Drosophila melanogaster: one gene and its partner. The protein of the gene in region 1 interacts with the protein of each later gene in a pairwise test. Each region holds a gene or a part of one and is shown on either strand. Other genes may lie near its edges. The genes, in order: CG7366 and PlexB.

Region 1 (15,220 bases):
TCTTAATTATATAATTTAAAACGAACTCTTTCAGGGAAGCCGCCTCTCAATTACTCAAAAAATGCGACAATGGCCAACAGACACCCTCCAATATAAACTTCATCAAGCGCGCAGAGGTTCCGCTTTCCGGAGTACTAAAAACGCTGTGCACCAACAAGGTCCAGGACATGGTTAATGTCCTTTGCCAAGTGCCGGTGGGCAACAGCTTCGAGTTGATTCTTTCAGTGGCTACCGTCGAGGGACGCCTCAAGACATTCGTATCGCGTCTGATCCAGTGCAATGAGAACTCCAAGCCGGTGCCGGGCGACCTGGGCAAGCTATGCGTCATCCGGTCCACTCTGTTTGATGTTTCCTTCCTAATGTTGACAAGCATTGTGCAGACCTATGGATCCGATGTTCGTAAACCCGCCTGTTATTACGCTGCAATTTTAATGAATTCTATTTTACTTCAGGTGGTCTTATCTGAGCGTGGTGACTCATTTTTTGAAAAATGGGTGCGTGAGTGCATGGTGGAAAGGAATAAGCTTAAGAATCCGCGTCAAATTCTTGCCCTCTGTGATGACAGTATTGTCGACGAGCTTTTGCTTAGCTTCAGTAAACCAGAGGCATCACAACTTAAGCCAAACAACTTAAGTTGGCAGGAGACTTGCCTTAATCTGCCCGGAGTGCTTCATCATGTGCTAATAGCTTGGGAGCAGGAAACGCTATCCTCGGCGGACGTTAAAAGTATTCTGGACAATATTAAGAGAAGACTTTTCAGTTTTTCCGTTTGCGCCACTAGTTTTCTATGCGCCTACATGTATTCGGTGAAGGAAACGGAACTTCTGAAACCACTAAACATGATTCAGCAGTTCCTGGCTCCGTTGACCAGCGAAGAGCTTTCCAGCCAGGAAAATGCCAAGGAGCGACTAGCTCTCTCCTATCAGATTATCAGAAAAATGCAACACGATGTGCATCCTGCCCCAAGTACCAAGTCCCGCCTCATTTCACATTCCCCGCTAGTCGAGCAGTTTCGGGAGGTGTGGCGAACAGTAGTCGATGCTGGTCACCTGCCCGTTCGCGCCGCTCAGTCGTTGGAGTCGCTTCTGCTAGCCGGTGGCGCGGCGTGGCTGTCCACGCAGTTGGTGGAGCAACTGCTGGCCTGCAAGTACACAAGGGATATGTCGCGAACCATGGACGTTGTGTTTGCCGTAATGCATCTCGACATTGAGAAGACCACTGAGGCGTTGCTCCAGTACGTGGTGGCTCCACTGATACTGCGACGACAAGGGTAAATACCAATATTTTCTTCTGTATATTATTTCATTTATTTATTATCTACAAATCGAATCGATTTAGCAAGAAAGGATGTAAAAATTGAAACTGCTATGATAGAACTCGTACTCACAATTTGGCAATCTTTTTTTTTTCTAGTGAGGACATTAATGAGCCCCAATCCCTGGTACTGGCCCGCCTCTGTGTTTACTGTATTATTTCCTGCCTGGAGAGCCGCAAAGGAAATGGCACTTCCGCTTTGACGGCCATGAAGAAGCGATCGAGATCTCACGATGACGAGGAACTGGCGGCCAATGCAGCCAAAGTGCGCAAGGTGATTGGCGATGGCAGCGACAACTCAAGCGACTTTACGGACACTACGACCGGAGCTGGCCTGGCAGCATTATTGGGCTCCACTTCCACATCTGAACTGCGGACTACGCCGCTTACTCTAAGAGAACCACTGCAGACGAGCGTGCAGCACATTTTCGCAGTGTTCCTGCAGTTTGTCAGTGGAGATGAACTGTCGCCCAAGGCCGTTTTTGTTTATCAGTTCATTTCGCTGCTGGTGGAATGCGGTGGTGAGAGGGTCGCTCCCGTCCTGCGCTTGCTGCCCAACGGCCTGGTGCAACAGCTCCTGAAAGTTTTGGTCACCGACGACATAAAAGTGGGTCTCATCAGCAGACTATACGATCTGCGAATCCAGGCAGGAAGACTGTCCGCTGTGTCTGATCTTTGCCTGTGGCGAAATATGCAGATGGCCAGGCACAGCATTCATCTGTGAGGGATTTGGATGATTGCCACATTGGGTATGCCGATTATGATTAAGAGACGGGTGGGCGAAATTGCTAAATGAATTGTATTAAAAACTAGAAATTGGTGACTTGACTCGGCTTCTTCTTTGCACGCAGTGGATTTTGTTTTCGTTTATTACAATAATTTGTTGTCGCCGATGTTCGTCTGTGTTTTGCTTCATCTTCTTCAGTTAGCGGGTGTAGGGGGAGGTGTATGGACAGGCTTAAAGTAAGAGACCTTGCGATTCCCTATATCACTTGAGCAGACAGCACTCGAAGTAGGTCTCGCCCACACAGCCACCACGCATCGCCTTCTTTACATTGTTCTCGAACTGACGGCGGTTGGTCTGCAGGACGTCGGCCGCCTCCTTGTTGAGCGGATCCTCGGGATTGGGTTCCTGGAAGCAGTTAATTTGGATTAGTAATACTGTTGGCTTGGGTAATAACAAAAATAGAAATAATGATCGTTAAGTGGTATAAACAAACATTTATATTGAATTGTTTCAGTGGGCGTTCAATTAAGCACACTTAGAAATCAATTGTTCACAAAACAAGACATAAAAAATCAATTGTAACTTGAAAACTGTGGCTGTTGATCAAGACTTATGGAACAAAGCGTATAGCCTCTAAAATAACACAAATCACGAAATACAAACCAAGAATAGAAACTGCAAGCCATAGACGATGGAGTTGATGTTCAGCACTGGATTCCAGTCCTCGCGCAGAATGTTGAGGCAGACGTTGCCATCCAGGTCAATATTGGGATGGTACACCTGGGTGGCGCACTTCACCTTGGGCGGCTCGTGCGGATAGTTGGATCCGACGCGGAAATTGAACACGAAGCGCCCGTCTCTGTAGAAGCCCTCGTCGGGCGAGATGATAAGCTTGAAGTTGAGCAAGTCATTGGGATCGGGAAAGTCTGTGGCGCAAGTGTTTGGCAGGTTCAGTTCGTTAATATCTGGGGGGAGGAAAACAGCCCAAGATGGATAAGTAATAAGCGAGAGTTGATCATACCAGGTGCTGGATTGGAGACTACCTTTCTGTATGCGCAGCTGGGCGGCGGACGCTTTCTTCTGCTGACTGCCCTTTTGCTCGCCGTCTTTCTTCTGCTGCTTAAGCGTGAATAGTTTAATCATCTTGGCGTCCTCGTCTCGCTGGCGTTTCGTCTTCCGCGTTTGGCTGTGCTCGAAAGTTTCTGGCTCTCTGGGGGGCTTTTGCTGCTTGAGGGACAGGTTGCATTGTTTGAAATGTCAGTGGTTTAAGGGCAATTGTTTCACTGAATCTTTGGCCTACCGTTAACAATAGAACTGATGTAAAAAATCACTTCGAGTGCTTTCTATCCTTTCCTTGTTTCTGCCCAGCGATATGTGTAATTAATCGATGGTTGCACCCGATAACAGTCTGCTCGATAGTTGTTGCGTAGTGCTGGTAAGCGGACTTCGGATTCAGCGGGATTCAAGCCAAGTTTGGATACTTCGAAACGAAGAAAATTTTAAAACCTAAATTTTCGACATGCAACCGGTGTCGTAATATATTTGAAAATCATCGTCATAATTTTTTTTTTTAAATATATATATTAAATATATTTATTTAAATTAAACGCAAGTCTTTGATAGCTGGTTTTTCTTACTTCGTTCCATAACTACGTAAAACTTTGCAGATAAATTTAAAGAAATATTTGTTAGCTACTTTGCAAACCACATCTCTATCGGAAACCAGGGCTGCCTTAACCAGCACATGTTGATTAATGCATTACGATTGGGCTCCCCTTGAGCTGTTTATTTTGAATTTCAACAATTTCTGATTATGTCGACGGAGCCATCGGTGGCCAAGGATGCTGTGCTGAAGCGCAGCGAGGCTCTGGCGGAAAACACGCCCCAAGTTAGTGGCTACGATTTCAACGAAGGCTTAGACTACAGTAAGCTCTTCGAATCCTATGTGAACACCGGGTTTCAGGCCACGAATCTTGGCCTGGCCATTCGGGAAATTAACAGAATGGTAAGTTAGTAACTTAAATACATAACTACGATATGTTACAAACCCCTAACACTGGCAGCTGGATTGCAGGGACCAGCCATTGGAAGCGGACCAAATAGACAGCCATGAAACAGACGACTTCATCCGTCGAAGAAGCAAGTGCACCGTATTTTTGGGCTACACATCCAACTTGGTTTCGTCCGGACTGCGAGAGACCATTCGCTTTCTGGCCGAGCACCGTATGATCGACTGCATTGTGACCACAGCTGGCGGCGTCGAGGAGGACTTCATCAAGTGCTTGGCTCCCACGTTCATGGGTTCATTTGAGCTGAGTGGCAGGGATCTCCGCGAGCGTGGAATCAACAGAATTGGCAACCTTCTGGTGCCGAACGATAATTACTGTAAGTTCGAGGACTGGGTGATGCCGCTGCTGGACGAGATGCTGGAGGAGCAAAAATCCCAGGGAACTATCTGGTCGCCGTCGAAGATTATTCATCGGTTGGGCGAACGGATTGGCGATCCTAGTTCCATTTACTATTGGGCTGCCAAGAATCAAATACCAGTCTTTTGTCCCGCCTTGACGGATGGCAGTCTGGGCGACATGATGTACTTTCACTCCTTTCGACAACCTGGACTCGTGGTGGACATTCTGTCCGATCTGCGGAGGCTCAACACCATGGCTGTCAAGGCGGTCAACAGCGGGATGATCATCGTGGGCGGCGGCGTTATCAAGCATCACATTTGTAATGCCAATCTGATGCGCAATGGAGCGGATTACTCAGTGTTCATTAATACTGCCTCGGAGTTTGACGGCAGCGATAGCGGCGCTCGACCGGATGAGGCTATATCGTGGGGCAAGATCAGGAAGGATGCCACCCCTGTTAAGGTGTATGCCGAGGCTAGCTTGGTCTTTCCGTTGATTGTGGGTGAAACATTCGCCAAGCGGCATCACTGCGCCGGCAAAGAGCTGCCCCGAGAGACTAACCAAGTGTAAATATATACGAGAAAATAAGGACAACGCAATCAACGCAAATGTACAGATGTAACTTATTAAGGAATGGTTGGGCCGCAGATGGGTCGTATTGCGAGAATGGAAGTCCCCGAAGTGTTATGCCCCGCCCAGATGCAAACTGTCCGGGCAGGAAGCCATTAAGCGTCGTCGGAGTTGTTGGCTGCAAGTGATAAACACCACCGGCAACAGCAGCAACAGCATTGCACTCCGGCACCTCCAGTGGGCCATGCACATTCCGCCGTAATAGTGGTTCTGCTGCTGGAATCGCTTTAGTGCCGCAAAAATGCAGCTTTTACCGGCGGTCACAGATGCTATATTCCTCGTGGCCTTAGTTTTATACGAATATTCCCTCAGTTCTGCCCATAATTGTTTGCGAAGTTCGCTCTCGCTGGCAGGAAATCGTCCGCCACGGAACAGTGCATCCGCATAAGCCCACGAAATTTGTCATTAATTTTATGCCACTAATGTAAGCGCTCGGCTTCCGTCATTTCTTCAAAATTTTTCTCCCTTTTGGCCAACCAAACTTTGGCTTGTCTGCACGCATCATTAAAGCCATGCGGAAACTTTTTCGCGCACTTACATTTTGTCCCCTCCGTTCCGGCTTCTACGACAGTTGGCACTACATATTTTGAGCTATTGTCAGGATGCAGTTGCGAAAGATGGACTGGCTGAAAGTTTTGGGGATTGCAGAGGCACTGCATTTTCTTTGACAACTTTTTCCCGACTGCTAGCAACTTTTTCTGTGACTTTTGCCTGGCTTTCTTCGAAAATGAATGGTTTTTTGGGAATGCGGCGAGGAAAAACTATTATGTATGTTCTTTGGCGTATGCATGGCAAGAAATGTTGGCTTTATCAAATTTTCGAAATTTATACGCTTTTTTAAGGCCGCTTGAGATGTTTCGCTTTTAAAAGTTTTCCTTTGGGAATTAAGAAAATTAAAAATCCTCTTAATACTGAATAATAATGTGGCATCAAAAATAATTTATTTCTGAAAAACTTATGTTAGCTGCCAAGAAAATCAATTGCACTTATTGCACAAGCAAAATGCCATTATCGGCAGTCAGCCGTCGTTAAGAAGTGCTTAACTGCATGTTGTCATAACCATGGCCAAAACACACCCACGCACACGCACACACTCTATTTGGGCCCACTTAGGATATATATGTATGTATATCCACCACCACATACTCTTTCGAAGCGCTTAAAAACTAATTACGAACAAAGCTGTTGCTGCGCTTCCTACTTTGTTGTTTTTGGCTGCGTTTTCTTTTCCCATCCTCGCCGGATGAAGAAATGGTCACTACACTGAGGAAAATTAAAGAAATTATATGTATATGTTATATTATTTTTACAAAATTGTAATACAGTTTGTATAGCCTTGGGAAATTGATTTAAATTAAAAACCTTAATTATAACATTAGGCACTGATGTGATTAAAACCAAACTTTCCTCGCGGTGTAAGTGCGTAGATGATTGCCGACTTTCCAGGACTACAGCCAACTTCCCTTCGTGATTACGAGAAAATTAAAACTACATTAAAAGTTTTGCCGTTGACAGGGGCGCAGGCGGTGAAAAGTGCGAGGGGGGAGGCGTGGAAGTTTTTAAAGCAACTCAACGATTTATTGATGCCAACAGGAAAATAAAAATATATATATTTATAAAAGTGTGCTGTCGCTAGAGGATTACCATTTGTCTATGGACATATCGCTCAGTGCGTCAGATAACTTCTCCAGATCCACGACATCATTGGTTTTTTCACCTTTGCTGCTCCTGCCTATGGGATCCAGAGGTCCTTTTCTAATGGACATTTCTTTCAGACATGAGTCACACTTTAAGTTAGTGGAACTGGGACTGCGTTGGTCATCGGAGGAAAGTCCTGCAACTGCCAGTGTGGCGACGGCCTGGTGCCTCCAAATGAAATTCTCTCGACGTTTCAAGTCCTCGGCTAGAGCGCGCAATCTTTGGCGCTCCAACCTTGTGGATTCCTGTAATCGTCGCACCTTGTCCTCCTTCTCCTTCAGGTCGTTCTTTTCCTGGCACAAAATTTGGTCATATAGCATGCGGACATTGTCGTCCCTTCGCGAGCAGGCCCGTTTCACCATGGCATTCAGAGTATTCTCGAAACTGAGATCCAACTCGGAGATCTGCAAGCTGGTGATCATATCGTTCCGCAGAAAGGGCTCCAGGCAGGTGGTCAGAAAATTGAGTCGCACTGACTCGCCTGGCCATTTTTTCAGAAGCTGGCAGGCCGCACGGCAGGATTGATAGATACCCTCCTGGGGAAGTTTCGTTTTGGCCAACGCCGACTTCTCGGCAATCTGCTTCTCCAGAATTTGGCTCCTGCTAAGGTATAGCTTTTCCGCTTCCACCGTGCGACAGTGCAGCGAGTCGATTTCCTTAAGCAGATCCTGGTTAGACCGCTTAATGCTCTCGAACTCGGGCGTGGAAATGGGATAGGGCACCCCAGGGGAGAAAGAACTACTGCCACTGCCATAGTTGGAGACATTGGTGTCCGAGTCCTCAATATCTTCAACCGGCGACATTTGCCCCTCCTCCACAGTAGTCGTCCCATGGTACTCGTTCAGCAAATCGTCCATGGGGCGACTCAAGTTCTTCAGTTCGGTGAAGGGTTTGCTCAAGTGGCCAAGATCTCGCAACTGTTCGCACATCATCAGCAGCATGCAGTTTCGTGCGAATTTATCCAAACCCTTGGCGTTTTGGAAGTGCTGCATCCAACGCTGACTTATGTCGTGGTCATCTTGGCTGACAGGGTGCTCCTTGGAATACAACTGCAGGCTGCGCAGCTCGGAGGCAAAGTGGCTGTCCAGGGCGAACTCGCTTAACTGAGTCATTCTTGGATGCTTTTTTGTAGGTTTTTGAAATTTTAATTTTATATTTTTTAGATTTTTTGTGGGTTAGAATTTTGTGATAGGCGGAAAACGAACAGTTGATCGAAAATGTTACAAATATATAGAAAATATACTGCTACATTGATATTTTCGGATACCAAATGATAGTAATTAATTACTCATTATGAAGCATGCTGAAAGAATTGTGATTTAAATTAATTAGAGTAACTGAAACCGATTTCGCTCAAGGTCGTTCGGGTCTAGGAAACCCGGCAATGCCCTTTACGAATTCGGTCCGCACGTGACAAGTGTGCGTATGGAGCAACAACGTCTTCAACTGGCCAGTAAGTTGGATCGGAGTCAAAGACGTTGTGCTGCCATGTCGACGACGACAGCTGCATGTGTAAGCGCGGCCTTCGCCGGATGACCAAGTGGGTTGTATATAAGCTGGCCAGCTGGGTTAATTCAACATCAAACCTAGCTCACAGCTCCCAGTAGTCACTTCTACCAAACAAAGCACCAATCAACAATCAACATGAAATTCGTAAGTTCATTGATTATCTTAAGGATTGATGGGATCTATTAATTAAGGAGTACTTCTGTCTATAGATCGCCGTCTGCTTCTTCGCTGTTGTGGCTGTGGCTGCTGCCAAGCCTGGACTTGTGGCTCCTCTGGCCGCCGCTCCTCTGGCCTACACCGCTCCGGCTGTGGTGGGCAGTGCCGCGTACGTGGCTCCCTATGCCTCCAGCTACAGCGCCCACTCGGTGGCTCACAGCGCAGCCTTCCCAGCTGCCTACACCGCCGCCTACACCGCTCCCGTTGCTGCCGCCTATACCGCTCCAGTGGCCGCTGCCTATGCCGCTCCCATCGCTCCCTACGCCGCCGCCTACACCTCGCCCCTGGCCTACAGCTCTCCCTATGTGGCCACCGCTGCCGCTCCTCTGCTGCTGAAGAAGTAATTCAACGGACTGTGAATCCTACGCCTCAATAACAAATTTTTAAATACATGATTTTAAAATCCACTCGCTATGGTTTCAACTCAACTCAACCTTTTAACCCCTTAATAATCGCGGGGTCTGAGTTTCCGTGCATTTTTGCCACCTTTCGCTGCCTTTCGTTTGCCTTAATGGCACAAATACCGGAAATACCTGCGAGGAGCCAACTGCCATCGTTTCCAACTTCCTTATTAATTTCTCGAATGCTGCTTTGGTATTTCTTCAGCCCGCCTGCCGCCTCTCATAAATTGCGCAAATTCCTCTTGCGAGCGTCAAAGAAAAATGTCATCGGGACGACGGTGGTGAAGAGGTGTTGGGTGGAAGTCGAGTGGAGGCGGCTCTTGTGGCCACATCTAATTTCTCTGTATGTCTCGAGCACGCTTATTAAAGTATAAATCATTTGATGACTGCCTCTGCAAAGTGACCAACAAATACGTCACAAAGAAGAAGCCGGCAAACGACAATCAGCTCAAAAAGGAAAGAAGAAGTAAATGGGCGAGGTCCTGGGAGCCGAAAGGACTGCACTGCCCGGATGGTTAGCCAAAGTACATTATAGTCCTTGGTCGGCTGCAGGCGGCAACAAATGTAGCAGAAAACCGCAGCCGAGAGTAGTGCAATTAAATACAGGAAATAATGGCCACCGCAGCACTGGCAGAGGCAAAAGCAGGAGCCGCTGGATGCTGGTGTTTTGGGGGGTGGATCGCTGGTCTGGCGGGGCACAGGAAACGACAGGATGCAGGAAACGCTCGCACAGCATCTTGGCCAGACCCAGACCAAATTTAGAGGCGGAAAGAAAGAATCTAGCAACATGCAGCCAGATGGAAGCCGGTGAACGCTATTATGTAGACACATTAAACAAAGATGGCCCAGGGGAATGGAATCTCAGAAGCGACTGGGTCGTACTTGCGGATATATATCTCTTAAGTATTTTCTTGATGGATGACTGCGGTGCAATTAAACCGGTTAGGTACAATGCAGTGGGCAAATAATGTCACGAGGAAATCTAATAACGAGTAAATCTATTTATTTAAGTGTCAAATAATTTAGTATCAAAGATAAGTGAAAGATAATTATAACTTTATGCTGAGGTAATTTAAACTGTGGAAGAGGTATGGTATAAAGAGCCTTTTAAGACCCACGTTGCCCTTTATAATATTTATTCATATGCCACGTAAAGCTTAAGAAGCTTCTATCAAGGTGCCACTTACAAGGCGGCCCTAATGTGCTCTTTACATGGTGCCTCTTATACGGTGCCCCACACAATGCGTCCCCTACAGGATGCCCTGTATAAGTTTGCCCGCCGAACTTGAGCCGTAAAAGGTAGGGTACCATATTCCCAGCAGGAATAGCATTATTTGCATCCGGAGAGATTGACTTCTTAATGTTGCGCATTCCAATCCGAACCGCACACACTCTCACAGAGCCAACAACTGACTGCGGTTTTCTGTGTCCTGTTCCTGAGAAGGACTGCTAACCGGACATGTTTGCGGAGTGCGAGTGTGTATGCGAAATATTTTATAATTCAATTTTCAATTGGCAGGTTTGAATCCTTAGATATGCCCGCACATCCAGAAACTACACAGATTCTGCGAGAGCATGTACATACGTAGAATTGCATGGGTTGTCGGGCTCTAATTGAATTCAATGTGCACTTAAGCGACATCCGTTCATAATGAAATTTCGCAACAGAATTGTGGCAAGGACAAAAGAGTCGGTAAATATTGTTGCTATGCTAATGCAAAGTTGCTGCCTCTCCTGCTTGTAGCATATATATGTACATGTATATATATACATATATTTTTTATTGCACCATAAATAATCGGAAATCGGAGATGGAGAAAGTCACAGAGAGTGCAGCCTGGCAACGGAGAAATTGAAATTAAATTGCCGTTCGACCGAAGGAATCCGATGCCAGGAGCCAGTGCCAAAGCATAGCCATCCATATCGTACATACCGCCATGGGTATATGGCAAATACATTTCTATATACTTTTCGTGCATTTCAGCCCGTCCTGTTTTATTTCATTTGACGTTTTATTTCGCACTCTGCAAATAATCGATTGTCCGTCCGTCCGACTCAGTCAGTCAGTTGGTCCGTTTGACTCTCCATCGGAATGGAATGTTAGCTAAAGTATGAGCAGCTGCTTCAATATTGCGCATAGAATTTCACAATTTCGCACACTGCAGGAAAATCGAGCTGGGCAATTTTAAATACGGTCAATTAGCAGTTTTAAATTGACGCCCACTTGCCACTTAAATAAGTTGATCACATTAAATGTCAAAGGAATTCAATTATAACTTTAACTGAAATAATTCATGTGATACACAGTCGATTACTTTGGTAACAAACTTATAAATGTAAATGTTTTAACAATTGAAACAGAACTAATTTAATTATTAAAACTATTTTTTTTAAATAACTTAACACTTCACAAATTGAGTTAATTTTTATAATTAAGTTACTACTTGCAGTTTTAAACTATCTAGCCAACCAACTTGGGTTTAATCTCTTTGCACAGTGTCCTGTGCACAAGTCAATATGCGTTTGATTGTGTGTTGCGTAAAATTCCTTACGATTGACTTGCCCTGGCGTTTTATTGATTGATTTGCAATGCCACGAGCGGCTGACAATCAGCTATCAGCCACCATTGGGCTTCCGATGGAGCAACAGCCTTAGTTCAGCTCAGCTCACGTTGCGTATGCGTAATATTGTTATGCCACATCCTTGCACGCTCCTCCATGGAAAGTTTGCACAAGAAATTCAAGCAATGATCAAGTGTACATTTTAATGAAGCCGCCTCCGTACTCGTTCTCGTATATATGTATGTATGTAAATACAATAAATTGCGCACCGAAATCAACTCTATTGCATGCCAATTTCCGGACCAAAAATATGAGCGATTTTCATATGCTTGGCAGTGGGGAAAAGTTTTTTCATTAAAATTCTCGAATGGTGGCAAGTGGCAAGTTTGGCCAGAGAAGTGGGTAAAAGCCCAGCTGGGCTAAGTGAGTGCAAAATGTTATTTTATTGTCAACAAGCAAAGTTGCCACAACCACTCCGAAGACGAAAACCAGAGCCGCACGACTTGTCGTGGCGGATGTCAAATTTATTTAATATGCAGCATAAACAAAGCAGCCAGGACACGACGACACGCTCGTAAACTCATTTGCCAGCGGAAACAACAGTTCCCACCGGCTGCTGTTGGCAATTTTTTAATACGACCTCAAGGACCGACTTCCTGCTCCAAGTCCTGTCTTCATTCGCCTTATGAAAAGTAAATATTTTTGCGTTTTCTATATGTATGTATATCCTATTCGGACAGGGTAACGCCCACAACTTTTTTCATTAATTTGTATAATCCAGAGTGCTAGTCCCAAACCGAAAAAAAAAGAGAAAACCCTAAGGAAGGCATTACGTAAAAGTCAATAAAAGTGTTGTTTTAACTTCTGACACTTTTGGCCTTCCTCGGCACTCATTGTCAACTTCTGCTTTCAACGCAGCATCTGGGGGAATTTTCATAATTTTTGGCTACAAAGTTGAATTGATTAATAAAATATGAGCTGATGGGTAAGGGAAAGTTTGTCAAAGAATATTACAAAAAATGTAATTCTTTAGTGCTTGTACTGAATTGTTGATAAGTGCTCTTCAAATCAGAAGGATGGTTATTAAAAATGTTAATGCAAATCGTTCCAAATTGAAATGTGTTTTAAATAAAATTTAAAAATATATATTTACTTTATTACAATTATATTAGCAAACATTTTTAGCATTTTGTTTTACTCTATTGCAGAGCATTGACTTAATGGAACTTTAAACATCCTGTTTGTTTGTTTTAAATGATTGTTAGCTTGTAATTGTAAGTTAATGGACTTGCGTTTACTTTTCATTTAAAACAAAAACAATTGTTTTGATAAAATATTTTAAATTTGCTGGCAACGAAAGTTAATCAGGGTTTTTATGCTTGCAGCTGCAGCTCTTCATCATCATTTATGAAAACATTTCAGCGTTTCAGGTCTGGTTAACATGCAAATTTAATCGGCAAACTAGTTGCTAACTTTTTAAAGACGAACCAAAAGCTCATATTGAATTCTTTCCATCCGCCAATCATGCTTCGTACTCCATCTGGTTAAACCAAAGCCACCGGAGAATGGAAATGATGATGGGGCCCAGAAAAAACAAGCAGAATCATCCATATTCATGATGCATGTCGGTAATGGCATTTCCAAGCCAACGACAAGTTGCTTAAAAAATCATCCAAAAATTCGAGTTAAGTGCTAGAGGTTTGGCGGCTCCTCCCATCCCCTCCCCACCCCTCATCCACATCCTCAACCTTACCACATCCGCGTCCGTATCCAGTGCCACAAACTCCTCCTACGTTCTCCTCCGCCACATCGCTATATCATGCACATCTGTCATGCTCTTTGCTGCAGATGCGGTTAGAGAAATGCACGAAAATGGAAAAGGGCCAGGAACGGAACTAAAACTGCACTCAAAAAGCTGAAAGCGGCAAGAAATTGGGTACAGGCACATTCCCCTTAAAGCTTGAACTCAATATGTGCATAACTTTCGCTTTCCGGCGACAGAACCCCCCCAATCCCATTCCTTTGCCTCCTTTGTCCCAGGCAATCTGTGACCCAAATCCAAGGACCGACCGCTTTAAAGCCTAAACAAACTGTGTCAGTTGGCAGGCACTCCCACTTGCTCCTACTCCCCCACTTGACTTTTGGGCCCCAGTACCGCTCCTTCGACAACACTATACGTCCCCCTTATATTCTTTGCCGCTCGCATCGAAAGGCAAATATTGGCACTTGCCGCAATAACCAGGTAAGCTCTGGCTGAGTTGCCCTCCATCGCAGACTCGAAAATGGGTCACACCACAGTGGTGACCAGGAAAGCAGGGGCACCACAATAAGACTATCATGTAATATATATATTTTATATCTCTGTTTTTCAAGCATGTAAAGTACAATTCTTATGGTTACCAAGATCTTCACTATTCCGATAAAATAAAACGTATTTTAACTTAACTTTGTTTTTTCATTGGTTTCGCGAATTTTAAGGATATAAAAAGTAAAGGAAACTATTGTTTGGCTCCCATCTGTAAGTTGAAAAACGGATGACTTTATGATGGCAAGTAGAGCAAAATTAGAAGCAAACTTCGAGCCTTTGTAATTGCGTCACAGATGCGGCTTCATGACTTTAACCCTTCGACGGCGAGCGGAGGAGTGCTTTGCGCCGGGGATTGCCAATGGGTTAAGACTCGTACAATCCCTCGCATGGCTTTGAAATTTTAATGGGCTTTAAGCGAGTGAACAGGGGCGTGGCTGTCGCGCTTGAATTAACAAATTAATGCAAATGATTTTGGAAAACATTCAGCTCGGCTTGTTTTTCCCTGAATGCCCCGAGAGGATGTCTCGACTTAAGCTTAATTCAATGAATATTTATGAGGCTTCCAGAATATGCCAGTCGCTTCTTATTTTTGCATCATCATGTTACGGCTGCATTTCGATTTGAGGCTCTAATTTAATTGCAACCGTGCAGAGCTGAGCAGGACAACAACATCCGTTTCCGCCTGCCACGACATCCCGTCAAGTGCGGCAATCGCATTAGAATGCGCAGCGGACCTGTCCCTCGCACCTCGCGTCCTGTGCATCCTTCGCCTGACGGATGTCTTGCGCTCCCTCCACTCCCGTCCGTCGATCATTGCACTTTGGAGACCCGTAATCTGGAGTCAGACCCGGTACCCAGACACCGTGTCCAACACAATGCCAGCCGGAGGCTAGCGTCGACTCCTGCTCGCTGCACTCATTTAATTGCATTATGCCGCAGGTTGTCGCATTGCCCTGAAAGTCCTGGCTGCCACTCCGCCACTCCAAAGACACTGCATTAATTTGCATGTGAAAAACTGCAGCTTCGCTGCGCTGTCGGTGTTGTTTTTTTTATTTTTTTTTATTTTTATGGCTGCTCGCTGTTTTTGCCCAGAGTTAATGAAGTCAACAAGCTGCGGCTGCATTTCATCAGAGTGAGAAGCGGCGGGCCAAAAGGATTTGCCAGGAACAATGCTGTGTATAATTTCCCCCTGTCCTAACAACTGGTGAAAGTTTATGTTACATTCGCATGGGCAGCAACATAATTTACTGCCCAGAGAGCCACAGGAATTCCAAAATCCGCTTGGTTAGTTTTTTTTTAAGGTATAGTATGCATTCTAAAAGTGATTTGATATTTGGCTTTAAAATTTCATTAAAAAATCAGAGATTAACTTTGCAAAACACATATTCTTGTTTTCAAATTCCACGTATTACAAAAACTTACACAAATCAAGCAATAAACATCTTCAT
Region 2 (16,667 bases), on another chromosome or scaffold:
TTCATCAAGATCATCTTGTAAAATATGCAATATTACAACAGAATGGGTAACTTGTTCATGCAGAAGACGTTCTTCTGAAAGGGAGTAACGGGCATCGTTGGTTATTGCGTCCACTAAACCCTTTTCAATTTGATGCTTTATTGCTTTGAAGAGCAAAAATAAATTTGATCCGGCGTACTCTTTCAGGTAATCGTACATACAAATTGCTAGGTAGTTGGTCAACATTTTTTCAACAACGCTTTCAGTACGCCTTAGCATCAGCTGAGGATGTTTGCTGGCAAGTGATTTATCTATCAAACGTAATAAAAGGGACTTCAAAATTTCCGTGGCATATTCCATCTTGTTCATTAAAACAACCATTATTAATGAGGCAACGTTAACTCGGTCTCTAATAGAAAATGATGAACGTTGAGCTTCTAATGTTTCTATGAACATTAATAAAAAATATTTATTGCCAATCAGTTGTTCAAATTGTACCATAGCTGCGTCATAGTTAGTCTGTGGGCTACCTTCACGAAATTTTGGAGAATTTAAAATAGGATGATCTGATACACCAGGGAAAAACACCTTCATAATATAGTTGACGTGATCTAAAGTTGGTATGCCTGTGCTCTCCAAATCTGCTGTTAGGTCGGTCATGTCCGTTTGGAGCTCAGCGAATGCCTGTTTACACTCAGAACGTACGTTGCTTTCTAATGTAATCATCTGTATCTGAATACGTTTATACTCGCGTTCTGCTTGTGTTGATTTCCTTCTGAATATTATAAGTACAATTACAAAAACAACGACCAGAAGTGCTACCGTTAATATGCCGACTAACAAGGCATGTGAGAAAACATAGGGTTTATTTAAATCATACTTAAGATATCCTATTACAAAACGAAGATTTCGACCTACTTTAACGACAACAAGAGGTAAATCAGTTGATTGATCCACACCATTTTCATCAGTTGGAAGTGGTTGTTGCTCCGGCGGAATGCATAAAAGTTGGTTAAGTGCCAGGCTGGTAATATTGCATTGGGAAGTTCCAATAGTTACATTTACATCGTACTCATCAGCTGCCAAGTTTAATAGCTCGCCTTCTATGACCAAGCTGTCACCCTTGTAGAGTTTAACGCCGTCGTTGGGAAATGGCAAATATTTTGGGTCTGCTAAATAGACAATAGTGCTCCTTATGTCATGAAAATATTTATTCAAGTTTCGAACTAGTTGTACATTGTCCATTACAAAACTTAGTTGTAAGTTTAATTGAGTTTCATGAACCTTAACGAATGTGGTGACGTCCATATTATTGTTAACAAAATAGTTGGCTGAAGATCCTGCATTTGTGTATAAGCGAAAAGTGTCTCCAAAGTCGGCTCGCCGCTTTTTTCTATCATATTCATTTTTATACCTGGTTTCAGTTTGAAACGAAGAATTTTGTAAGTGCAATTCAGTATCCATCTTTCTGTTCGTCTTTTTAAAAGTCTCAAATTTGTAATTTACAGGAGGAGATGGACATTCCATTTGATTAGAGTTGATCACCACACAAGATGTTTTATTTACTCTTTCATTGTCATAAAACACTTCTAGTTCAGGTTTTTGGATGGAATTAAGATATATTCCATGAACGGTGAGGACTCGACCACCACTTTTAAAACTACGCAATGGCTTAATTTGCATTATACGCGGGTCCTGTGTATAGTTAAAAATAGAGCAGGGTTGCCGTGGTAGCGAACGGAGTTGATAAGAACCAAAATTACTTCGAGTCGGATTTGTATTGGTAATGCTTGGGGTTGAGATCTGGCATTCTAGCGTTCTGTTCGCACCATCAATAACTAGATGAAGGGACCGTATTGGTTCAGGTTGGGTCGCTTCTGATGTAGTACAACTAACTTGGGATGATGAAGCTTGTGTAACATCTATATGACACTCATACTCATCTAAAAATGCTCGCATAGTTGAGCCAATGTTCAAAAACTTCCCAATTAAAGACAATTGTGTCCCTCCCGACCTAGGGCCAATTGTGGGATATAAACCTGTTAACAGCACATTCTTAAAATGAAACTGAACACTTGATTCAGTAAACCCTGCATCATTTGCAACTTTTATGGGTGCAGACATTTCGTACAGTGATGCTCCAGTCCGGCATTCAATTTTTACCGATATTTGATAATTTTCTAGTTCACAAGGCACAGAACCAATAAATATTTTGCCACGAACATCTTCCTCCCTTATGCCCAAATTACTTCCTTCAATTGTAATAAGAGTTCCACCCTCGACTGGCCCAGATAATGGTTTAATAATATCAATCCGTGGTAATGGGCACTCGTTTTCTATAGCGGATTTAGATCCTGAGCTGATAGAATTTTTATCAGCTATGCAAGTTTCATTATATACACATGAGTTGCTGCACCAAGCACATTTATATTTTGGATCTCGAGTTACGCACAAACTGCAATCAGGGTGTTCCCGATGGGAGCCCAACACGTCACACTTGTATAATGTAACAATTGCGGTGTCCACATAATGCTGGAAGTTCCATGTAACTACAACCTTCGCCTGATATTCATGTGTATTAATCTCGTAGAAATATGGTGTTTTTTCGCAAACTACAATTTTATTTGACTCAACGTGAGCAGGGAGTAGCATCTGAGCAGCTTCAATATGTATTGTACATAAAAAACCAGCATGTGCGCTCTTGGGTTTTGGTAAATTTTCAATCTCTAGCCGAATTTCTATTGGCACTCTTACGGGTAGAAGTATTTCCGGACGATTTTTTTTTAAGTGGGGGCAGTGACCAACAGTACTTACAGCATTTTCTATGTTACGGCATTGCAAAGACTTGTGAACGCACTTATTATCAAAAATACACCAGTTGCAACCCCAGGAACTTTGTAGACACTCCTGGCAATTTCCATGATGTGAGCAGTCAAAAAAAGCAAAATTCCTTGATACAAAATCCTTATTTGTCTCCGAACTTCTTACTGACAATGGCACCAAAATATGATCAGTGTTTGTTGGTATTAATGGTCTTTCATCTAATGGGGGAGTAGCACATCCGAGTCCGTTTTCCAGAATTTCGGCATCAATGGGGGTGGAATTTCCAAAAACACATCGGTATTTTGCATTAAAAGGTTCGGGCAAAGTTCGAATTATTAAATGCAGGTGCGATAATTCAGAAATTGGTATTTTCTCTGGGATAATAGATTCAAATTCTATGCATTGCTGTCCACTACCTAATGAAAGCCATCTCGACGCAGATGTATCTCGCTGGCATGTTGATCGTACAGTGCACCGCTTCTCCAAGGAACACCATCCACAAAAAGGATCCCGAGACTCTAAGCAAGCGGAACAATTCGTGTACACAGAACAGTGTTCGATTCTAAGCTTAGTTATTTTTCGTTGAGAAAGTACGTAAAGAAAATCTTTTTTTGGCGACATCATTGTATTTGGTAGTATACGATTTCCAGCATCCACAACTATTTCCTCGTACTCGCCCGGACTTTGGCCAGATAATAAAACTTTTTTGATTACTCCCATGTTCGTTCCAAGAAATGCAAGAGAATGCTGCTGATCAGTCGTTGAAGTTGCTGTGACTGACGTAACTGAAACATTATCAAAATGAAAAAGTGCGTGTGCAGTGATTGGGGATACTCCGCTTATTTTAAGTCCCACAGAGCAAAAGTTGTAAATGTTACCGAGCGAACCAACTATTGGACATCTGCCATCATTAATGGTGCCGGATATATAGCCCAAATTTCGATCTTTTGTGGTTCCGTTAAAACACAGATGGATATTTTCAATGAACATGTCTTCAATATCTTTAATGCTATATATACACATAGCAGACTTACTTTCTGGCTGATTACTTATTTCTCTTGAGGGCGAAAAAACCGTTACTAAAACGTGATCGTCTTTTTTTATGCCCATTTTTTGCGCCAATTTGTGGCTGGCTGGAGTTACTTTCGCATCCCTTACAATATTGTAGTCAACATTGTTTTCAGTTGCAGTGCATTGAACAGTTATTTCAGTATAGCTGTCGTAATTAGGATCTGTAATGCAAATGCGTGCCAAGCGTGTTACATAACCGGCCTCATCAGCTAAATGTGATTTTTTTTGAACAATTATGAAGTACGCATATTCAGAAGAATTAAAGCCGTAAATATAATCGACTAGAAAATGATCCCGATATTTTACATCGATATTTATAATTGACTGCTGTATTGAAAATTCAGCATAGTTTAAATCATCAAGTCGGCGGGACGAAATGGCTGGCACGTCATGACGATAATCACCAACATTCGTAAATGTTGTCCCCACATATAAAATATCCTCTTCTTTCCACGCATATCTCGCCGGACCTACAAATGCATATGTAGACGCGTTTTCATCGTTAGCAGCCAATGGAACTGCAAAAAACTGGGGCGTTGCCGGAAAACGTGGCAGGCTGTAAATTTCGCAGGCTCCTGAAAATAAAGATAATTTTATTACTATCGCGGAATTTTTTAAAACCTATTTTAAGGACAAAATATAACACCTAAGTCATAGTATCCATTGGACTTGATATACCCGTAACTTGTAAAGTAAAAATGTATACTACATGTAGAACGGAACGTCACCGAGCCTATAAAATATCAAAAATCCTGATCTTGATCACTAACCGAGTCGATCTACTCATGTCCGTCTGCCTGTCCTTAGCCCACGATTTTCTCGCCGTGGCTCTAGAGGTTGCTCCAGGCTCTCTCGAATTTTTGTTCGAGAGCGAGAGAGCGGAGAGCGCTACAACGAACAGCTCTTTTCTACGCATACAGTGATACCAGACATCTGTGTGTGTGCACACGTGTGCTCATGCATTGTAAATTTGACAATATATGCCCTTCACCTTAGAAGTTCATAGACTTTAAATCTATATTATTTTTGATCAATTGGCACCATGCGAAAAATTCTTGTTTTGCATTGCCTTAACGTTATTATTATTTGAAAATAGATTAGAAAGAGTCAAACCTATGTACATATTATCACAAAAAAAAATTTCAAAAATGACTTTATAATATTATTATATTCATTAGAGTATTCAGCTTTCGACGTGTGAAAAATTAATAAGGCAATGATTGTTGAGTGCTTGTGTCCGCACTTCGTGCCTCAAGATACATATGACTTGCAATAAACAGTTTTCATATTTTTATTTATGTTAAAAATTTTTATTTTCTACTACGTATTATTTTTATGAAATTTTTTTAATTTTAATATGATGTATAAAATGATCCATTTTTATTATTTAAAATGCACATTAGATTCAGTTGTTTAGTTTCAGTTTTTTTTTTGTTATATTCCAATTTGATATTCCTAAAAAAGAGCGCAATTTCATCATATTGCTACGAAATTGGCCAAAACTTACCAAATATGTAAATTCGTTTATTCGATCAGAATTGATTTCAGGAACAGTAAAAATTGTTAACTGATTCGTTGAAAAGTATTTTAAAGACGATTCGCATCGCATGATTGAAGTAATATTATGCCCAAAACTGCCCGCCCATATTTTTGCAAACATTTTAGAATATTTTTTTTAATTTTATTAGTTGCTTAAACTTTTTGCCACGCCTACTCTAACTCCCTAAAGCCGCCAAACCGGTCACGCCCACACTATTGAACATTTTTCAAATTGTTTCTTCTTTTATTCCCCAATATCTATCGATATCCCAGAAAAATGATGAAATTTCGATTTCGAGTTCGCATTCACACTAGCTGAGTATCGGAGATCTTGACTATAGCATATTATCTTGTTTTATTTTAATACTTTAACGTTAATACTACCCAAATTGTTTCAAGAGTTCAACTATAGATTTTTTAATTTATAACATTTTAAAATCCTGTTTTGTTTATCATCATATTCCTTCCGCACTTTTGAATAATTACTTATATTCGCCGCTTTTTTATGTGGAGCTCAAAAACACTGCGACATTGTTCTACGATGACTACAAAAAATGACCAATAACTTCTATAAACCAATACGATATGTCAGGAGTTTCGGTCCCATACGAAGTCGCCGACTTAAGTATTTTATTTTTATTTTGATATGTGTTTGCTATTTTACCTTGTCGAATGCTTCCACACGCTATGAGAATACCATCGTGAGCGTAGCTTACTACTAGAATTTTGTTGAAGTTATTGACAAGCGATGTCTCAATATCTTCCGGACAGCCTCCAGCGTGACATTGCGGGGAATCATGTAACGGCCCAGTAACAGCCTCGGCCAGCACTCGAAGGTTTTCGTTAAGTTTAAGTATTTTATTTGTAGCACCCGCAAACAAAACATTGTGCATAAAGTCGAAGCTCATGTGAGTAAAATAATTTTTAGATTGAGAGTCTCTAACACTTTCTATATTGTTTCCAATTGATCGATTGCCATAGCTGGAAGCTGTTGATTGAACTGGTATTGATGGCAAGTTAAACTGGGCGACTATGTCATTTAAGGGAGATAACGCCTGAGCCGGCAGTTCTTCAATGCAGTTAACGCAATAATGCTGAGAACCGAGTATGATAATAATACACAGTACATGTAAAACATGTATAATGTTTGCACAATACAATTCCTTTCGCAACATATTTATTTGTGGTTTTGTGTATGATCAGTTTGTAGTTGAGTTTGGGCATCAATTCCCCATATGTCATTTTTATTATTATTTAGCTCTACATTCTCTCTCCTTAATATATAAACTTTTTAATATCGATTGAATTTAATGCGAATTAATTTTATATGCCGCTGATTCACTGTAGGTGCATAAATATTTTTAAATTAAAATGATCCATTTGGCTATTTTAGGTTTAGCGCATTTTTTATAAGGTTGTTTAACACAAAAAATCGATTAGTCAATGTAAACAAATATTTATTTAAAAAAAACTTCTTAGGCAACGCTCAAACGTTGTGTGTACACTATCAGTCCTAGAGCAGATTATTAGTATCGGCTGTATCAGCCTATCGCATACAAATTGAACTATCGAGCTAGAGGGCATTGTAATGCTGTATTCACAAGGAGCACATTAAAGGGAAGCTTACCATTAAAAACCTCGGAAGTATTTATGTAGATATCGTTTAAATGTTTTCAGTTCTGATTCCACATCCAATCAATTGGCTAATGTTAAAAGAAAAAAGAAAGAAGACACCACCGATGGAGTCTAAAATGTTCCAGGAACATTTTTGTAAAATAATATCAATGAAATGGTAGTCGCGTTAAAAAGAGCAATCTCCAAAGAATCTAAATTGATCTCATCTTCTTCCATGCAACACTTGCCGTGCGCGCTATTTTTATCTTAATATTGTTTTTGATTCGAGTGTTACAGACCCACCTATCTCTACACAAAGTTTTGAACAACATTGATTTATGTGGCACGATGGCTAAAATTTTATAAAATTATTTTAAAATCATAACATGTTTAATGTTAAATTATTTCATTAAGGGTTTCTCATGGCATGGAGGCTTCAACGCCACGTAGTGTTTGGGACTATTTATGTATATACTTATACTAATTTTACTTATGTACCTTTTTTACTATTAAAATTATATAAATTTAAAAAATTTGATTATTATTATTCAACAATTTTTGGAAAATTTGTCCAACGAATGGCTATTTTGCTAATCAATTGTCTTATTAATAATTTATTGAATTTCTCTACAACTGTAAATTAAGACCAACCGTCATTAAGACCTGTAAATTATTAACACTTAGTTAAATAAGTATCACTAAATAGATTATATCGGTGGGTTTTAAATTTTGACTGAATTGAAGATTCGATTTTTATATATTCTCAGAGAGATTTCTGATCCTGTCATACGTACATATGTATATACAATTTCATTTATTCTCCGAATATATAAGTTAAATTAGGGAACCACTACAGATATTGAAGTTTTATTTGTGGATTTTTTTCAACACTTAGCATTGGATATTGACCCCTATAAAAATGCTTCATCAATCCATTTGTGTAGTCACTTTGCAAGGGTGTACTTCGGTTAACCGACTATATTTCAAAGCGATAGTTAATGAAACTTATGCTGCTATCACATTATTTACTGTGAAAATTCTTTGTGAACTGAAGAGCAATCGGGAACATCGATCTTGACAACGCCGAATTCGTTTTGGTATAACACAGGATCTTTAGTTTATACTTGGTTGGCATCACATCGAAACTTAGCACGGGAAACCATGGTTAATCGACAATATTTGCGCTGTGCAACATGTACAAGTACATAAATAGAACTGTTTACACATAACAACAATGTATCAAAAATCCGTTAACAGCCGACGTGAACACTCGAAACATAACCAGACCTGCCGCAGAAAATGCTGCGATAAGAGATGCTAAAGAGATAAACCATCTCTTACCAAAAAGTTAGATTAGATTGACCAAAGAGGTTAATGTGTACACTTAAACTGTCTATAATCTTTACAACACATATAATGACAAACATGGATATTTTTCAACTCAATAAGAGAATAATTTATTAGGAATTTGGAATATCAAACGGCACAATGATACGCAGCTCTTACTTACTTACTTTTTATTAATTTTAATTTTCTTTTTACAAAAAAAAAAATGTATGCTTGGAGCAAATTATTAGGAATTATATAAGTATAATATTATTATTATAATAGTGTTATTCCCAGCTAAGAACAAATCGCTTGTCATCGGGAAAACGTTTTTGATTTTATAAATTAGTTTCCACCTTTCCAGTTTTGTTGGTTTGCACTCACAACTCACAATGACGCAAATGATTGCTTATTCTGTATTTTTTTATTCTAGTAGGAAAAAATCTACATTGGCAACGCTGCTGCCGTGAAGCTAAGAATGCAGTATTAAAAAGCGAAACAAAATAATATCAATAAAAAGGTTAATGGTAAACTTAGGAACTTCCAGCTCTTAAACCGCGCAAATATTTTCCTTTATGTGATAATTAAGCAAGGTCATGTAGAATCTATTGATAAATTTCTGATTACAAAAAAATATTTAAATATTCGTTGGTTTTAAAAATTGGAAGCAATTGACCCCAACAAATGCTAAGCACGAGCTCTTGTGACATTGTCTACTCCGAAAAAGGAATGGTAATCTTTTAATTTTTTGATCCTCTTCATTGTAATTAAAAATACGTCTCATTATGTAACACAGTTTTGGATTAAAAATCGAGCACACTACAAAATAAACTTTTAATAAAAAATATAAGACAACATAACATATATAAGTGAAAATAAAATGTAAGAATCATGACGAAAAATGTGTTATTTTTATATTACACATAATTATATTTATTTATTATAGTACAATGACCAATATATTTACTAAAGGCAGCCATTATGAAGAATGCAAGGGGCAACATACATACATCAAAATTAAATCGAAAGAAGTTTATTTAAAAACTAAACAACACTCTGACCAAAAACCAATTATAATTAAAAAATCAATTAAAATATTAGCTAAGTGTGTGCTTTTTAAATACAAAATGAAACGTCTACTTGAGTTTTTAAACCTTTTATTCTTTTTCTAAATTCCTTAAAAAATATTTCAAAAAATGAAATTAAAATTTAAAATATTCAGGGGTTTCTTAAGGTAATTGAAACAGATCGAACTGCTATAAAATTGTAATTTAAAATACATATATTTTATTAATCCATAATCCGAAATTTCGACCTCTTACTCCTACTGTCTAAGTAAGAGATATCTGTTAGTCGAGGAAATAAGCTATAGCGTTCTGTCTTTGTAGGTTTCGGTCAAAGACACTGGAATAACAAGACGCGTAACGGCCATACATTGGTTTCAAAATTGCGCTCTGTTGTCCCCTCGCTTACGCTGAGAGCATAAGAAATCTAAAAATAGAATTTGCTTGCTTGTGTGAGTAAAAACAATAGATATATGTATGTGTGTGTAGTTGTGCTAGAAGACGATTTTCGGGCCGAAATCAATTTTGTTTAAAGAAACAAGAAATGGATATTCGCCATTTTTGTATCGTATATGATGAAATAAAATAATAATTAAAAATTCACGCCGTGACTATTATAATTTTAAAGTTTTTTTATATTCGTTTGCTAAAATCGCCTCTTGAATTAGCTACCGTTTACATATTTATATTTATGTTAATAATTAATTATATGTAATATATGTAATAATCGGTACCCACGGGACAACACGGGGAGGCCATTGCAATTGTAATTCACATGTCGCAAGCAGAATACTCTAATGGCCTATATTCTAATATAAAGTCATTTTTAAAATTTATTTTGTGATACTATGTACATAGATTCGGCAACTACTACTTTCAAGCTATATTTAAATAATAATAACATTAAGGCAATGCAAATCAAGAATTTTTTACATGGTGCCAATTGATCAAACATAATATAGATTGAAAGATTAAGAACTTCTAAGATGAAGGGCAATACAATGCATGAGCATACGTGTGCACACATAAAGTTTTCGGCTGCCACTGTATGCGTAGAAAAGAGCTGTTTGTTGTAGAGCTATCCGCTCTCTCGCTTTTGAACAAAAATTCGTTAGAGCCTGGAGCCACATCTAGAGCCTCACCGAAAAAATCGTGCGCAAAAAAATCTTATGACGTTACGCATCTCGTTATTGTAGTGTCTTTTTTTCGGTAAGGGATTGGAATGCTTTTAGAATTTGAAATAACAAATATGTATGCCCCCTTACCGAATATATAAAACATTATTTTATAATTTTAATTATGCCATATAAATATAAGCCCACGAGTATGCAACGCCTTTTTTGTTAGTGGCGTCATAATTAATATTATTGTAATACCGGCTTACGCCGGTATTAAGGCTTATTAGGGCTTACGCCGGTATTAAGGGGAAAATAAATTAAAATAAATAAAAATAATTATTTAGTAAGAGCATAATCATTGCATTTTAATGTTTAAAATAGCTCGGAAGACATTATATTGTTACATGTATTTAGAATATTTAAAATAAAATTCTCGTTTTTGTAAAATAATAAATGAACTTGATTAAAGGACATTTGTAAAAAATATTACAGTGTTGAATCAGGATTTTAATTTAATTTTGTTTTGTAATTGGTATATTGCCTATAAAGTAAATACAATCTAAATAGAATAAAATAGTTTATTATGACTGATTTCTTGTCAGTGTTAGCTAGATAACATTTTTTACTGCATCATTTGAAGGTATCTATTTTCCTCGAGTAAGGAAGTAAGGGATGTAGTCATATCGTTGATCACCATATTTGTCCCATGATATGGATGTGTAGAGCTGCTAACATCGGGAAACAATGTATTGTTTACCGGCATTCCCGGGAGGCTTTGTATTTGATTGGTAGATGTGTTGTTCGTCTCCATCCAGTTTTGACAACTTTGTACATATTCCAGAGTACGCTGATATGTATCTAAATGCATAACCGAAGTATTACTCGCTTGGGTGTCACAAACTATTTTTTGTGGTTCAGGGGGAAATAATTTGGATGTTGTTATTGGTTGCATATTTACGGTAGAAAACTGACCATCATTATTCAAATTAGTGGAAGGTGACATTTGAGATTGACTTATAATGCCGCATTGGATTTCATTATCATGATCTCCGTGTACTTTAAATATATTTTCTGTTTCGTTTCGTGGATATATTGAATCTACATTAAGTTCTGGCAAGCTAGTCATCGATGAGTCTATGATTTGATTATAATTTGATTTTTCTGTTTGCCGTTGATGAGCTGACGGTAATGCTGATTGCTGCTTGGAGCCAATGTCAGTGTTCATATATTTTTGAGACTGGTGATGGAAGCTTTCGCATTTGGCATGCCCATGTTCATTTGGTACAGCTAGGGTACTTAATTCTCTTTGACTGAATGAACCCCCGACCGCCGTCATAGCAAATTTGTCTTGTACTGTAAACTTTGTTGTATTTGGTTGTATATCAACGTTAGAAGGCGGTGTTAAAATTTGTTTATTGGTGTAATATATATTTGATTGTTCTCGGTAGTGGTTTGAAGCTATAGTTTCGGATACATTTGACCCCACAGGTACAGCTTGATGTTCTTTTTCCAAATGATTTGTGTCGTCTTTTACCAAGTTTAAGTACTGAAGCATTTCATCGGGAAGTATAAGTTCTTCAACTTCGTCCAAATTTATTCTTTCATTTGGATGTTGGTCACTAGTCATTGCCATGTCAGCCTTAATTGAAACAGTGAACAGATCCTTTCTTAAATTGTCCTTATTAATTGACGATGCTATATTATTAGTCTTTCCGACATTAATATCAAAGCTATGCGGTGTTGTACTGAACCGAGAAATATTTGTTAATGGATCTAAGTTTATGTTTGGCACTGGATCAGTTTGACGTCGTGCATTACTCGCTATTGCTTTATCAAATTCGTTTTCTCCGACTGGTTTGTTGTTTTTTATGTGTAAAGAATGCATATAACTAGGAACAGAAAATCGCCCGCTAGTGAAATTGTGATATTCTGAATCTTTCCGCTGTAAGCGCTTTAAGTTTGTTGCAATTAAGTGGGACGATGGAGGTGGGGGTAGACTGCTATTGTAAATTCCAACACCCTGAACCCCGATATTAGGTTTATTAATACATGCATTTAAGCTTTTGTTCGATTCCTTATTTAATACGGGTAGTCCTGATGTGGAAGTAAATGAATTGCAGTTAGCACCATTTGACATTTGGCTAGAGCGCCGTGAGCACCCTGGTGAAATGGGATCATAAAAGGATGCAGTCGAGTTACACGAGGGGTTCGGTCGCATGGTAGGTATAGAAGACACCTGGGATGATTGACTGCTACGACGACTTTGCATGCTACCGTAATAAGTGCTTGCAGTGGAATTTTGACTATCGCGACGAAACTGTCCTTGTATCGATCCGGAAACAGTTCCTTGCTTATTCGATACTGTATTACGAAAACTTGTTTGGTTTTGTAAAGGGTCTTCCGTATATCCTCCTATGGTCGTGTTTGGGAGCTTAGGAATTTTAATTTCAGCATCAGTACCTGGCTCCATTTTCAGTTCTGTAATACGCTGATTAAGTTCGCTAATTCCAAAGGTACGATTGCTTTCTGGAATGTTGCAAAGCATAATCGTACTTGAATTTATACCTTTAGTTTGAAGACGACCTCTAAACCGTTGCCTAGCCAAAACAGAACCTCCAATAGTCGAGGCGGATGCATTTCCGTTACCAATATTTACCATAGCACGTAACACAATTGGTAGGTCTGCCACGTCCACGTCATCGTCACAATTCCAGCCATCATCCAAATTAAGATTTTCAGCAAGATCATCAGGTGAATATGTTAACAAACTGTCAGATGCTCGAACTCCATTTACTAAGTGATGGTTTGATGAGCTTATATCTGATTCAGATTTAATGCTAGGACTAGACGTGCCTAACATTTTTCCCAAATGTGAGTCTTCACTGCAAGGGCTTGAGTCGATATTGTGCTCTTGAAGATTATGCCGACTGTTGTTTTGTTGTAACCGAGAGTTTGCGTCATTTAGAGGCAACCCCTTATGTTTTTTATTTGCATAAAATTCAGCTCCATGGACTGTTTTTACATGTTTTCTCAAAGAGCTCGGGTCGGTGTAACGTTTTGTGCATCCAGGTGCTTTACAAATGTACGGTTTCTAAAAATAGCTATAAATGAAAAATATTACTTTTATATAGATGAAAGACTTACCTCATTACTGTGTGTTCGATTTTGATGCTTTGCGCGATCACTAGCATTACTAAAGGCTTTGCTACATCCCGGATACTCGCAAGTGTATGGTTTTTCTCCTGTGTGTGACCGTAAATGAGTTTTCAGGTTTTCCAAACGTGAATATGCCTTAAAGCAGCCTTCAAACTAATTTACACATGATTTAAAATGGAATTCATATAAATTGTTTTATATAATTTATTAATCTTACCGTGCATTTGTGTGGCTTTTCACCGGTATGACGCCGCATATGCACAACAAGCATATACTGCGCTTTAAATGGTTTTTCACCGCGTGTACAATCTTCCCATCGACAGACAAAAGCTTTCTTGTTTGTTTGAATATGATCATTATTTATATGTTTAACAAGTTCATCTTGCGTAATGAACTCAATGCGACAGCTACGCCAATGACAATTTGTTTCAATGAAATCTCCGGGTTCATCCTTGATATCCGTAGTATCAGCATTAGCACAATCATATTCATTTGACGGAATCGAAATTGATCCGCAATTAATATACTCATCCAAGCGGCTGTTTACTTTAACGTCACCAGGAATGCCTGTAATATTGTTTACCACGTTGTTGTAACAACGGTCAGACAACTGTGAAGACGCACTGTCGGCTTCTACTTGTGCTACGCCGCCAGATGTCGATGAAGGCTGCTCGGGGACAACATCTTTAAAGGGTCCCTTTTTCTCTCTTGCATCATCTAAGTTCTTCAACTAGATAAACGATATAATATAATCATTTTTAATATTTTAAATTAATTAACAATTACCGAGAATGCTGCCGCTGGGACCTGGCTTACATCCTTTGTAACAGTTGGGGATGTTGTTATCTGGATATGTGAATCGCTTAGATTAGGATGTACGTCATTCACTCTCAAAGAAGCAGAGGTTGGCATATGCCCTATAGAAAATCCAGATGCAGCAACTTGTTGTGGTGTCATCGGATTTAACAGACCTGCACTTGCACGCAATAAATGAGCTTGTATCTGTTGCAGACGGGTTGAATGAACATGAGACATGGGATTAAGGGCGGTAGCAGAAATATGACCGTAAGAACCACTAGCCGCGCTGCTTCCTCGAGAACCGTTCATAATTGTGGCTAAAGAGTTTGGCGAAAATCGAATCATTGAATTAATATCAAATGAATCGGAATAAGGCGATGACGAAAGTGCTCGTTTGCGGCTTATGCTGGCACGTATACTTCCTCCTGGTGGTCGAGGGCTACCCAACCGCCTGTTTCCATCAACACTGAAGTGAAAATCAGTACTTGCGAGAGATCCGGCTGCTGCTGCTGCCACAGCAGCATTATGCAGTTCACCCAAAGAGCTCAAACCTCGGCTGCCCAAAAAATCAGCTGATCCCAAACCAAGTCCGGCAAGATGGAATGCTGATGCACAATTGACATAGGGATCTAACAAACAAAAATCCATACTTTTTAAGGTTACTTTTTTACAAATACAAGAAGTTAAATACCGTGAAAAGATGAAGCTGAATTAGTTCGTTGAAGAGAATACAACTGTTCCATGTATCCGGGAATTCTATAGGCCGGGTGAAAGTCATGTGGCTGTCCAGTAACATTTATATTGTGAACATGTTGAGGCTGATGATTGTGCTGGTGGCCAGCATTTCCAAGAAGGGTGTTTTCATTGCATATTTGTGGTTGTATTGAAGTTTTAATTGAATCTGATGTTCCACCCGTTGGAATAATTGATGGCACTGTTACCGAGCTTGAAACGTCAGTTGGGTGATGTTGGTTTATGCATGGTGATCCTGGTAAAACAGTAGCCGCTGCAGCGACGGCAGCTGCTCTCCTGGACGCTAAAAACTGCAATTCAGAATACCTATAGGAAATAAAATAAATTTTTTGTTAAATTTTGTTTATCATCTATAAGTGCGTAAGTACTATAAATCGTCTATCATCACCCAAAAATCTCGTATTTGGGTTTACATTTTTGTAATCATCATTTTTACTTAGGGAGAAAGAAACGTTTGACTTTTTAGAGTATATATTCTTGAACAGTCGATCTAGCCATGATCGTAAGTCCGTCCAAGAGCCAAGGAACTCTTGTATATATATATATATGCCAGAAGTTCAGATGAATCATGATTCATGATTCTAGTGACGCCTACACTGCTAAGTTTGTTTCCGGACGCTCCTACACCCAAAGCCCAAAAACAGCACAAAACAAGAGAGAATGATGTAGATGAGCTCCCCGACTATCAGATACCCGTTGTTAATACCAGTGTGAATGTGAATTTAATCATTTTTCTGAGATATCGATAGATATTAAGGAATATAATGACAAAAAATTTAAAAATTGTTTAAAAGTGTAGGCGTGACGGGTTTGGCGGCTTTAGGGCGTTGCACTGGTCATGTAAAAAATTTGTTTGGCAATCGACAGAAATTCTACGACCAAAATTGCTCTCTTTCCGCTCGCTCACGCTGAGAGCGTAAGAAATCTAAAAATAGAATTTGCTTGCTTGTGTGAGTAAAAACAAGAGACGAGAACGCGTATATGTGTGCGTGTTGTGCTAGAAGACTATTTTCGGGCCGAAATCAATTCTGATCGAAAAAACGAATTTACATTGTACATATTAGGGTAGTTTTTGCCAATTTCCTAGAAATATGATGAAATTAAATAATTTTTTTAAAATTCGCGCTTAATTAAAGCTTTTAAAATTTGTTTGTTAAAATCGCCGATCGAATTAGCTACCGTTTACACATATATATTTATGTTTAATTCTAATTTGTCTCTCATCTGACAATTTTTTAAAAGCGAAATATTTTTTTTTGAAACACTTTTAATGTTAAATGACTTAATAAATATAGTAAATAATTAAAGGAAGTACAATAGAAATTATTATAACTACTGGAATTTCATAAATTCCATAAGAATATGATAACTGTTTATTGCAAAAGTCTAGAATTATTCTAGTGTCTTTGCTTTGGTCATATCTTGA

Evidence for each region.
Region 2: the proteins of CG7366 (region 1) and PlexB interact in a two-hybrid assay, tested with the Drosophila melanogaster proteins (one large-scale study listed by BioGRID).

The regions. Positions count from the first base shown.
Region 1 is NT_037436.4:8,194,438-8,209,657, forward strand, and holds CG7366 (uncharacterized protein), read right to left. Parts: upstream 7,981-15,220; 5' UTR 7,890-7,980; coding exon 6,720-7,889; 3' UTR 6,641-6,719; downstream 1-6,640. Other genes in the region: MED24 (mediator complex subunit 24), read left to right, coding at 35-395, 453-1,270, 1,414-2,038; NEDD8-conjugating enzyme UbcE2M, read right to left, coding at 2,303-2,446, 2,705-3,006, 3,085-3,184; Dhps (deoxyhypusine synthase), read left to right, coding at 3,855-4,046, 4,105-5,019; CG13679 (uncharacterized protein), read left to right, coding at 8,422-8,430, 8,496-8,846.
Region 2 is NC_004353.4:36,838-53,504, forward strand, and holds the start of PlexB (plexin B), read right to left. Parts: upstream 6,942-16,667; 5' UTR 6,588-6,941; coding exon 6,077-6,587; exon of another isoform or gene 5,937-6,076; intron 4,449-5,936; coding exon 1-4,448. Other genes in the region: ci (cubitus interruptus), read right to left, coding at 11,157-13,625, 13,679-13,843, 13,908-14,420, 14,477-15,117, 15,180-15,547.